2 linked regions of the Rattus norvegicus genome follow. The protein of the gene in region 2 purifies or fractionates together with the protein of the main gene of each other region. This does not show direct contact. Links are inferred from orthologs where the notes say so. Each region holds a gene or a part of one and is shown on either strand. Other genes may lie near its edges.

Region 1 (4,300 bases), on a different chromosome or scaffold from region 2:
CAAGTCCAGTCTGGGTTACATAAGAATCTGTCTCAAACAAATATAAATTTAAAATAGCATGGTAATACTGTATGCCTTTAATTCCAGCACGTGGGAGTCAAGGTACAGGTGCATCTTTGTGAGTTCAAGGCCAGTGTACACAGTGAGTTCCAGAACTGTCAGGGATATACAGAGGAACCAGTCCTGTGAAGTCCAGTTTTTGGAAAGATGAGGATCATAATTTCAAGGACTGACTAGGTTACATAATGAGGTCAAGCCAGCCTTGGTGGAACTCATTAAGAGCCTGCTTAAAATGAAATATAAAAGAGGCTGGGGATACAGCTCCTGAGTGTAATGCCTAACATGTATAAAGCTCTAGTTCAATCTGCAATATTGCCCTCTCCCTCTGCCCAAAAGGTGAGACAGAGTATAAGTATTTCCACAATCCCAGCATTTTGGCAAACAGAAGCATTAGGAGTTCATGGCCATCTTCTTGATACATACAAAATAAATTTAAGGCTAGCCTAGTTTTCTTGCCCCTGTCTCAAAAACTGATCTCAACAACCCCCCCATCCAAAAATGCATCAACTGAGATAAAATATAAGTCATTAGGAAAAATATAATTTCATATATTAAAAAAATTAAGCAACTAGCTCCTAACATGACTTGAGTTTTAGGAAAAACCAAAACCAAACAAAAGCAAACCAGTATTAATACTAAAAGCTCTAAACCAGCAATTTATCATCTTCAGATTTCCCCCTCATTACTCCAAAAGAGTAATTCAAGACCTCTTTAAAATTTCATGGGGTTGGGGATTTAGCTCAGTGGTAGAGCGCTTGCCTAGCAACCGCAAGGCCCTGGGTTCGGTCCCCAGCTCCAAAAAAAAAAAAGAAAAAAAAAATTTCATAAGCAACTTTTTTTAGTAGTTTGTTTTTGAGACAGGGTTCCTCTGTGTTGCCCTAGCTGTCCTGCAACTTGCTCTGTAGCAAGGACTGGTTTTGAACTCAGCCATCAACCTGCCTCTGCCTCCAGTGCTGGGATTAAAGGTGGGCACCTGGGGTTGGGGATTTAGCTCAGCGGTAGAGCGCTTGCCTATCGAGTGCAAGGCCCTGGGTTCGGTCCCCAGCTCCGAAAAAAAGAAAAAAGAAAAAAGAAAAAAAAAAGGTGGGCACCAAAATCCCCAACTCACATGTAACTCTGCAGGTCTTATGCTTCTGAGGAATACCTGGGTGTTATAGGGTTAGCACTTAAAATAACTATTGTACCTATTTAAGGGTCAAACACTTAAGACTCGGCGTATCTCCTAAAATATTCATTCAGCTTTCTGAGACACTTGTCCCCATTCCTCAAGTAAACAATAATTGGGGGGGGGGGGGGGATAAAGCTTGTTTCACAATCATCCATGGTTGAAAAGACTCAAGAGTTCACTTTTCAACTCACAAATATGCTGCAGAACAGAGAAGCCCAGAGCAGCAGACCCTCCTTATAAGGCAACAATAAAAGTTAAAGAGACCAGCTTTTAATAGCAAAACACTATGTTCTCTTTATGGTCCCCAGCACTGTAATGATCACTCAGGAACAAGTCTATGTGGCTAATAAAGTTATTTTAAAAGACAATTCCATATTTCCTTGAAATAATTCACAATAAAGACATGCTTAGTCATAGTCAAATTTAGGTATCAGGTTACTTGCAAGAGAGCCAGGGAGGCAATCAGTTAATCTGTAATTCAATGCACTCTGTAATCCTAGACTTCACTTTTGTTGTGGTGGAATTAAGTGCAAAATTTTTAAGTAATAATGTATGAGATTTCGATTTGATATGCTTTCAAAAAACCCTTCTTTAGTTCTCTAAGCTCCTGGACTTGGAAACTAAACCACCATCCAAGTCTAGCATGAGAATTCTAGTACACTTAAAACAGACTTTAAAAACAAACCTGTTTTAAGTGACTCGAAATTCTGCCACTTGTTACTGGACTGCAGGGCAGAAGGGAGTGCATTGTTCTTTGCCACAACACAGTCTACTGTAACATTCTGATGAAAAACTGAGTCTCCAAACCTGAGGACTCCATGAAAAAGTGAGCCAAGAGGCATGTTTTAACACTATCCCTTAAAAACCCAACACCTTGGGTTTTAGCGTCAAGGGCTCCTAAAAGTCACACACCTCAGACGACAAGGTCTATTACAATAAGTTCAGAGACTGCAGGACGTGACAAAAAAAAAAAAAAAAGCGAAGAAATATCGGGAACCTGTTACCTGCATATTCGGTGGTTAAATAGGTAAGACCAGTAAGGAGCAAATGTCGCCAGATACAGGAGGAAGGGAGAGAGCTAAGTATCGAGTGGCAACGACCGCCACCACCCGGAAGGCCCGGGACCCCTACTCAAAGCCTTGCGGCCAACCCGCCCTGGAGCGCGGAGCAACAAGCCTGTCGCTAAGGCAGGCCCGGGACGAAGCCTAGGCCTTGCAGCCGCGTTCGGGGCCGACTGACGTCGCCCGCAAAAGAGCAGGCCTGCCACAGAGCTGGATACAGCAGCGAGCGAGCGCCGAAAGGATGGGCGGCCCTAGAAGGCCTGACTCGGCCGCCTCGCGCCTCCCGCGGTCCGGGGTCGGCAACGGGCCGCACAGCGCCTCAGGACACGCCAGGCCGACTCGCCGCCTCGTGCACGCCACAGCCAACCCGGGGCTCCCACCCAGCCCCTCCCTCCAGGACCTGGTCCGGCTCGCGGGCTGCTACTCACCGTGCTCGGTCTCAAGACCGCAGGCCTGAGGCTGCCGAACAGAGTTCACAACCGAATAGAAGTCTCGAGAACAAGGCCACTACAGCAGCGCCGCGCGGCGTCAGCTTTTATAGGAGCGGGAAGAGGGCACCGAGGACCCCGAGTTCGTGACGTCACACAGCCGGCCGGGCTGGCCGTTGAGAGTGCCTGACGGCATGCGGAAGGCGGGTGGCAGGTTCTGGGCGCCGCAGAGGTCTCCTGGAGAGGTGCTGAGCGGCGATGGGTGGAAGGGTGGCTGAGCAGGAGGGGGACTTCCACTTTACTCCGCCGTCCTGAACAACGCCGTGCTCTCCTTCCGTGCGGACGCCGGCACCGGCTGGGGAACCATCGCGACCCGAAGGGTCTTTCAGGCAGAGGCTGTCTTAAACTGCTTGAAAGACCCCAGTCCTGAAAAGCCTGGAAAGAACAAACCGCAAAACCGGTTGTGGGTGGGTGTGCTTTAAAGGAGTCACCTCAGCCTGACCACTGTTACTCTCCTAATAACCCAAGGAAATAAGGGTTTTTGGTTTGTTTGGTTTTTTTTTTTTTTTTCCGACCTGGAATTAAGGACTTGAACCTTACTCCACTGATAACTGAGCTTTAAAAAATTACGGATGTTGAGTCAAGGTGTCTCTAAATACTCCTGACTTGGTGCACCTGCTTAGTTTTTATTTTCTTTGCATTTTAAGACGGGGTCTCGTTTGGCACAGAGTGACTGCAAATTCATTGCGTAGACCAGGTTGGTCTAAAACTCGTGAGATTACCGGCTTTTTTTTTTCACCACATATACTCGCCTTATACTCTTTTTGTTTTGTTTTGTTTTGTTTTGAAACAGGGTCTTACTAGATAAACCAGGTTTGGAACTCGCTATTTAGACCAGGCTGGCTTTAAATTCAGATCTGTGTTTCCAATAGCTCAGCGCTGGGAGGCAGGCACCACCTTGTTGGATAATCTTAACCTTTATTTCCTACCTTTGAACTTTGAAGAGGCTTTCACACCCCAAATAGCCATTGTTGGAGTGAAGCGCCAAGCCTGGAGAGAGAAAACAGGGATGTGGAATGGAGGGTATATTCTTCGGGTAATCATGCTCTCTGCCTGTGTGTGAGGCCTGTGAGGCCCGCGCTGGGAATCCATCCAGTAGTGAACCAGGACAGTCAGCCCAACCTGAACAGACTATGCTGTATGGGCAGCTCACAGAAGGCTGTGATAAGGTCGCTAGAATGAAACAACTTTGAAGTAAAGGGAGAGGTCTGAAAGGACCCATCTGGCCTCAGCCCAGCCAGGAACTGGGCACTTGCCTGCCCTGCCCCGCTGTGTCTAGGGAGCATCACTATCCCCACCAAGGCGCCAGGCTCACCTAGCCAATGAGCACATGATGGTATTCCTGGCACCACAAAGACAAAAGACGTTTCCACACAGGGCCTCCTAAAGAAACCAGAGCCTACAGTTTCTCCAGGACAAGTCTGGGCAGAGAGGCCAAGCAATGGCTTGAATGACCAGGTCTTTGTCTGATGGCTGTGGTATCCAATGTCTGCCAGGTGCCACAGCTGATGACAGAAGATGAA
Region 2 (4,105 bases):
CAGAAGACTCACAGACCTATGGCTCCCAAGGAGGTAAGAGAGGTATGCAGTTGGGGATATGGAACGAGCGGTACCAACCCCTGGTTTTAGTCATTCGTTGCCTGATTGTCTGCCAGGCCCCCAAGAAGCTGATCCGATACATTGACAACCAAGTAGTGAGCACCAAAGGAGAGCGATTCAAAGATGTACGGAACCCCGAAACTGAGGAGATGAAGGCCACATACATCAACCTCAAGCCGGCCAGAAAGTACCGCTTCCACTGAGGCACTGGCTGGACTCTGCCAGGCATCACAGATCCCAGAAGGATGCAGAAACCTTCCCGTCCACCCTACCCCTTCTCTATGCCTTTGCTCTAGTGTTAATTTATTCTTGGAGCTTCCTTCAACAGCACAGTAAAGGTTGTCCAAGGAAGGTGTACGTTCATTCTAGTGATTTCTGCCCCAGGGCAAGAAAATACTATGTCTGTCTGACCAGCTTCACATCCCCTATGCACCATGCAAGAAGGGGTAAAAAGCTCTTTATTTGAAATTCCAGGGTGGGACAGGGCTATCCCAGGCCTCTCAACCGCAGGCCCCACAGTTCAGTTTCCCTACGGCTCAGTATCAAGCTCCATCTACACAGTCCAGCTGTGCTCCCACCCAAGGAAAGTCAGTCAGACCTGTAGGTTGACAAAGGGTGCGAAGCCAGCCATGTCCTGGAGTAGCACCAGGGCCTGGTGCAGCGGTGGCTCCACGTCGATGTCCACACCACGCTTCCGCAAGCGGCTCAGGCTGGGCTCGGCCACATGGTGGCAGTGCCGCACCCGCAGAGAGCGCAACGCCGGGCAGTACTCCGCCAGTGTCCTGAGGGAGGAGCAGGGTGATGCTAGGTGCTGAAGGCCCTCTCGCGGTCTGTCTGTAGGGCCAGCTCGCTAAACCTGCTCTGGCTCCAGCAAATTCTAGGTTTCCCTCAGCTCAGGGCCTGCTCTTTCTTACTGTCCCTATGAGAAGGGGCCAGGATGGAATTACAGACTCCAGGCCCCAGCTCATTTGGGGTTTCTGGTGCTTAGAGAATACCAACCCATAGTTCTTTCCAGTGTTTCAAGATTACCCATCCCTTTGTTGCAGAAATGCCAGAAATTAACTTTATGTGACATCTCACAGTGTGTCAATCTTGGATCAGAAGTTTTTGTTTGTTTTTAATTGTACACTTTCTAGCCTAAAAATATTCTAGAGGCCTTTCTGATGGGTCTTTGACAAGTACAACCCGCCTCCCCATCCCCATGTGACTGCCCACTTCCTACCGTACCGCCCCCATGCCCAGGCACCTGACACCGTCGCTTCCGACCCGAAGGCAGCCGGTGAGGTCTAGGTGCTCGAGTTGCGGGCAGTTTCGAGCCAACTCTTGGACCGCGGTGTCCCCCACATTGGCGTTGACTGCCAACGAGAGGCTGCGGAGGCCCGCGCCGCGTCTCTGCGCCAGGTACACGATGGCCTCGTCCTTGAGTTGACGACAGGCGGTGAGGTCTAGCTCCTCCAGAGCCGGGCAGCGGTCAGCAAGGCCACGCAGTGCCAGCCCGTCCACCCAGTCACAGTGAGCGAGCGAAATGCGCTGCAGACGCGGGCAGCCCTCAGCCAGCGCTCCGAGTGCTCGGCGACTCAGTTGGCCGCAGCCGGCCAGTGCTACGCTCCGTAGCTGTGGATTCCGTGCCAGCACCGGCACCAGGTCCTCGTCCAACAGCCATTCGTGACACGGAGCCAGCGCCAGCTCCTGCAACCCCTCAGCATCTCGCAGTAGCCGGACTAGTGCGGCCCGTGGAATCTGTGGACCCACCTGCGGGCGGGAGGCACGGAGATCAGTCTGTCCCCGGGGCCGGTCACTGCCTGGCAGCCGCCTAACTTCGGGACTTTGCCACCTGCCCTCCCCGGAGAGACACCAAGCTCCCTCCGAGTCGCCGCTCAGTACTCGCCCACCGGAGTTCTCCACGTCGCACCAGGGGTTGGAAAGGGTTTACCGCGCAGCTGGGGCTGGCCTGGAGGCGGGGCGACGGTGGTACCCACGCGGGGGCGGGGCGGGGGCGGGGTCCAGTCCCCAGCTCACCTGAGCGGCGTCAAAGCGGCGCAGCCTAGCCAGGTGCAGCTGAACGAGCGCCCGGAAGGCGCGACTGACGCGCTGCAGCCGGAGCAGCTGGCGCAGCGGGACCCAGTTCAGGACGTGCGGGAGCAGCACGTCTTCCCAGGGCAGGTCCAGGAGCCTGAAGGGAAAGCGGCGTTGACGTCCCTCGGCCGCTGTTACGTGCGAGTCCTTCTGTTATACCCCAGAGTCCCAGCTGGCAAGAGGGGTCCGGGTCCTGCCCGGGCTCAGCTGCCCTCCCGCGGGTACCTTTTTCCCCTCCCTAGGCCCCTCCAGTGCTCGGTACCTGACGGCTCCTGGTTCTTGCTCCCCTCCGGACTGCTCCATTGGTGGCTCCATCGCTGTATACTGCGCGTGCGCAGTAAGCTTTACTAGCTTTGGCCTTGAAGCGGCTGCGGCGAACCCGCCTCCTTGGTCTGAAGAGACAGACCGATTTAATCGAGTGCGGTCTCACTGAGAATCCTTATCGGGAAGCTTTCTGGATGGACCCCGAAACTGAGGCAGAACAGACCAGTGATGCACCATTAGTTGTCTTCTCAGCTACAGGGCTTGAAGCCCGAGGCTGGAGTAGCGGCGAGCGAAGACTGCTTTCGGTCTTCGTTGCGGGCCGGTAGCCGCCTCTGAGTGGTGATGGGAGGAGCAGACAAGGCCAAAGGCAGAAGGGGCGGAGCCAGGACTCCTAGGTTACCGAGTGCCTCCTCTGTCCTCTGGTCGCGTTTAAGCGACTCTGGAAAAATAAAAGGGGGAGAGACTGCCCAGACTATAACTAACTGGTATGTAGTAGGTGCTCAGTAAGCAATTACCAAAAGAGTAGATTAAGCGGGCGACACCAGGATTTTTATTATCAAGCAAACTTGTCTAAACCTATCATTCCTTGTGAATCGTGAAATGCACAATCATGACTTCCATCTCTTTCCACTTCAAGGCAGCGTAGGTCGGCTCTTTGCCCAAGAAGAAAAGACTATACAGCCAGGCTTCCTTTCCAGAAGTCCAAAATTCAAGGGAATGCATGCTCAGCGTAGCCCACTAGTCGTACTGTTTCTTGACTGGCCCTGGATTAATTGGAGGGAGAGTGACTCCCCAAAGCTCAATCATAAGACTTTCCTTTCTCTGCATCCCCAAATGCTAAGCCAAGTCCATCTCTGGGGAACCCCTGGCGTAATATTTTCCTCCAGTGTCTGATGGGGGGGGGGCACGCTGCATCCTACATGATTGCGTGCAAACATTTCAGCCGCTTCATAATGCTGCTTCCCATCCGTTGGCTTAGGGGGTTTGGATACACCAGCAAAGGTAGGAGGGTCCGTCCATTTTAAAGTCGGACAAACCGAGGCTCTGGCGAGGAAGCTCCTTAACCAGGATCAAACGAAGCAAGGATAAAGAACCCAGAAATCCTGGTTTTCCCAGAATTCCTACTACACTACTTCATTATTCAATGTAGCTAAGGCCAACCAGCACCGGAAAGAGAGAAGAGGGTGAAGGTGGATGAGGGGATTGCTTCCTCATCTCAGCCTACTTGGGGAAGGGGTAGCCTCGAAGGATCTCTGCAAGATACATGTGGGCGCGCACCACCCCCGGGCGCGCGCCTCCCCTTCCACCACCCCCCCCCCCGCTTTGTTCGCACCTCTGCGCTTGCGCATTACGACAAATCTGGCGCTGTCCCCTTCAGCACCTCGCGGAACTCGCGCCACCCCTCCCCGCGGTGAGCCCCGCGCACCCCCGCTTCGAACATCCTCGCACCCTCTAGCCACCCGAATCGACCCTCTCTTCCTTCCCAGGTCATAACCTGCGGGTCTTGGCCTTCCAAAGGAGAATAGTTACCATAGTAACTCGTGTGGCGTTTTCCTAAAATAGTCAGACCCTTTTCCACCCTGGCCAAGGGCACAAGGTTTGCCTGTGCTTCTTGTCCCAGTTTCGGGGTCATCCCTTCTAAACTCTAACCCCTGAAAAGGCAGGACGATTAACCTAGACCGCAAGGAAGTTCTTCCTGGAGTCT

The links. Proteins that work in one complex are often made in the same cells at the same time.
Region 1: the proteins of Fbxl15 (region 2) and Skp1 purify together in Homo sapiens (affinity purification with western blotting; 10 studies listed by BioGRID and IntAct, counting the BioPlex papers as one, with this or other methods). This does not show direct contact. The link is inferred for Rattus norvegicus from reciprocal best matches to the Homo sapiens genes FBXL15 and SKP1.

Annotation. Positions count from the first base shown.
Region 1 is NC_086028.1:36,901,408-36,905,707, reverse strand, and holds the start of Skp1 (S-phase kinase-associated protein 1), read right to left. Parts: upstream 2,801-4,300; 5' UTR 2,718-2,800; intron 2,680-2,717; exon of another isoform or gene 2,239-2,679; coding exon of another isoform or gene 2,233-2,238; intron 1-2,232. UniProt on the Homo sapiens protein: Essential component of the SCF (SKP1-CUL1-F-box protein) ubiquitin ligase complex, which mediates the ubiquitination of proteins involved in cell cycle progression, signal transduction and transcription.
Region 2 is NC_086019.1:255,129,791-255,133,895, reverse strand, and holds Fbxl15 (F-box/LRR-repeat protein 15), read right to left. Parts: upstream 2,743-4,105; 5' UTR 2,452-2,742; coding exon 2,399-2,451; intron 2,234-2,398; coding exon 2,080-2,233; intron 1,813-2,079; coding exon 1,307-1,812; intron 843-1,306; coding exon 653-842; 3' UTR 501-652; downstream 1-500. Other genes in the region: Cuedc2 (CUE domain-containing protein 2), read left to right, coding at 1-33, 117-263. UniProt on the Homo sapiens protein: Substrate recognition component of a SCF (SKP1-CUL1-F-box protein) E3 ubiquitin-protein ligase complex which mediates the ubiquitination and subsequent proteasomal degradation of SMURF1, thereby acting as a positive regulator of the BMP signaling pathway.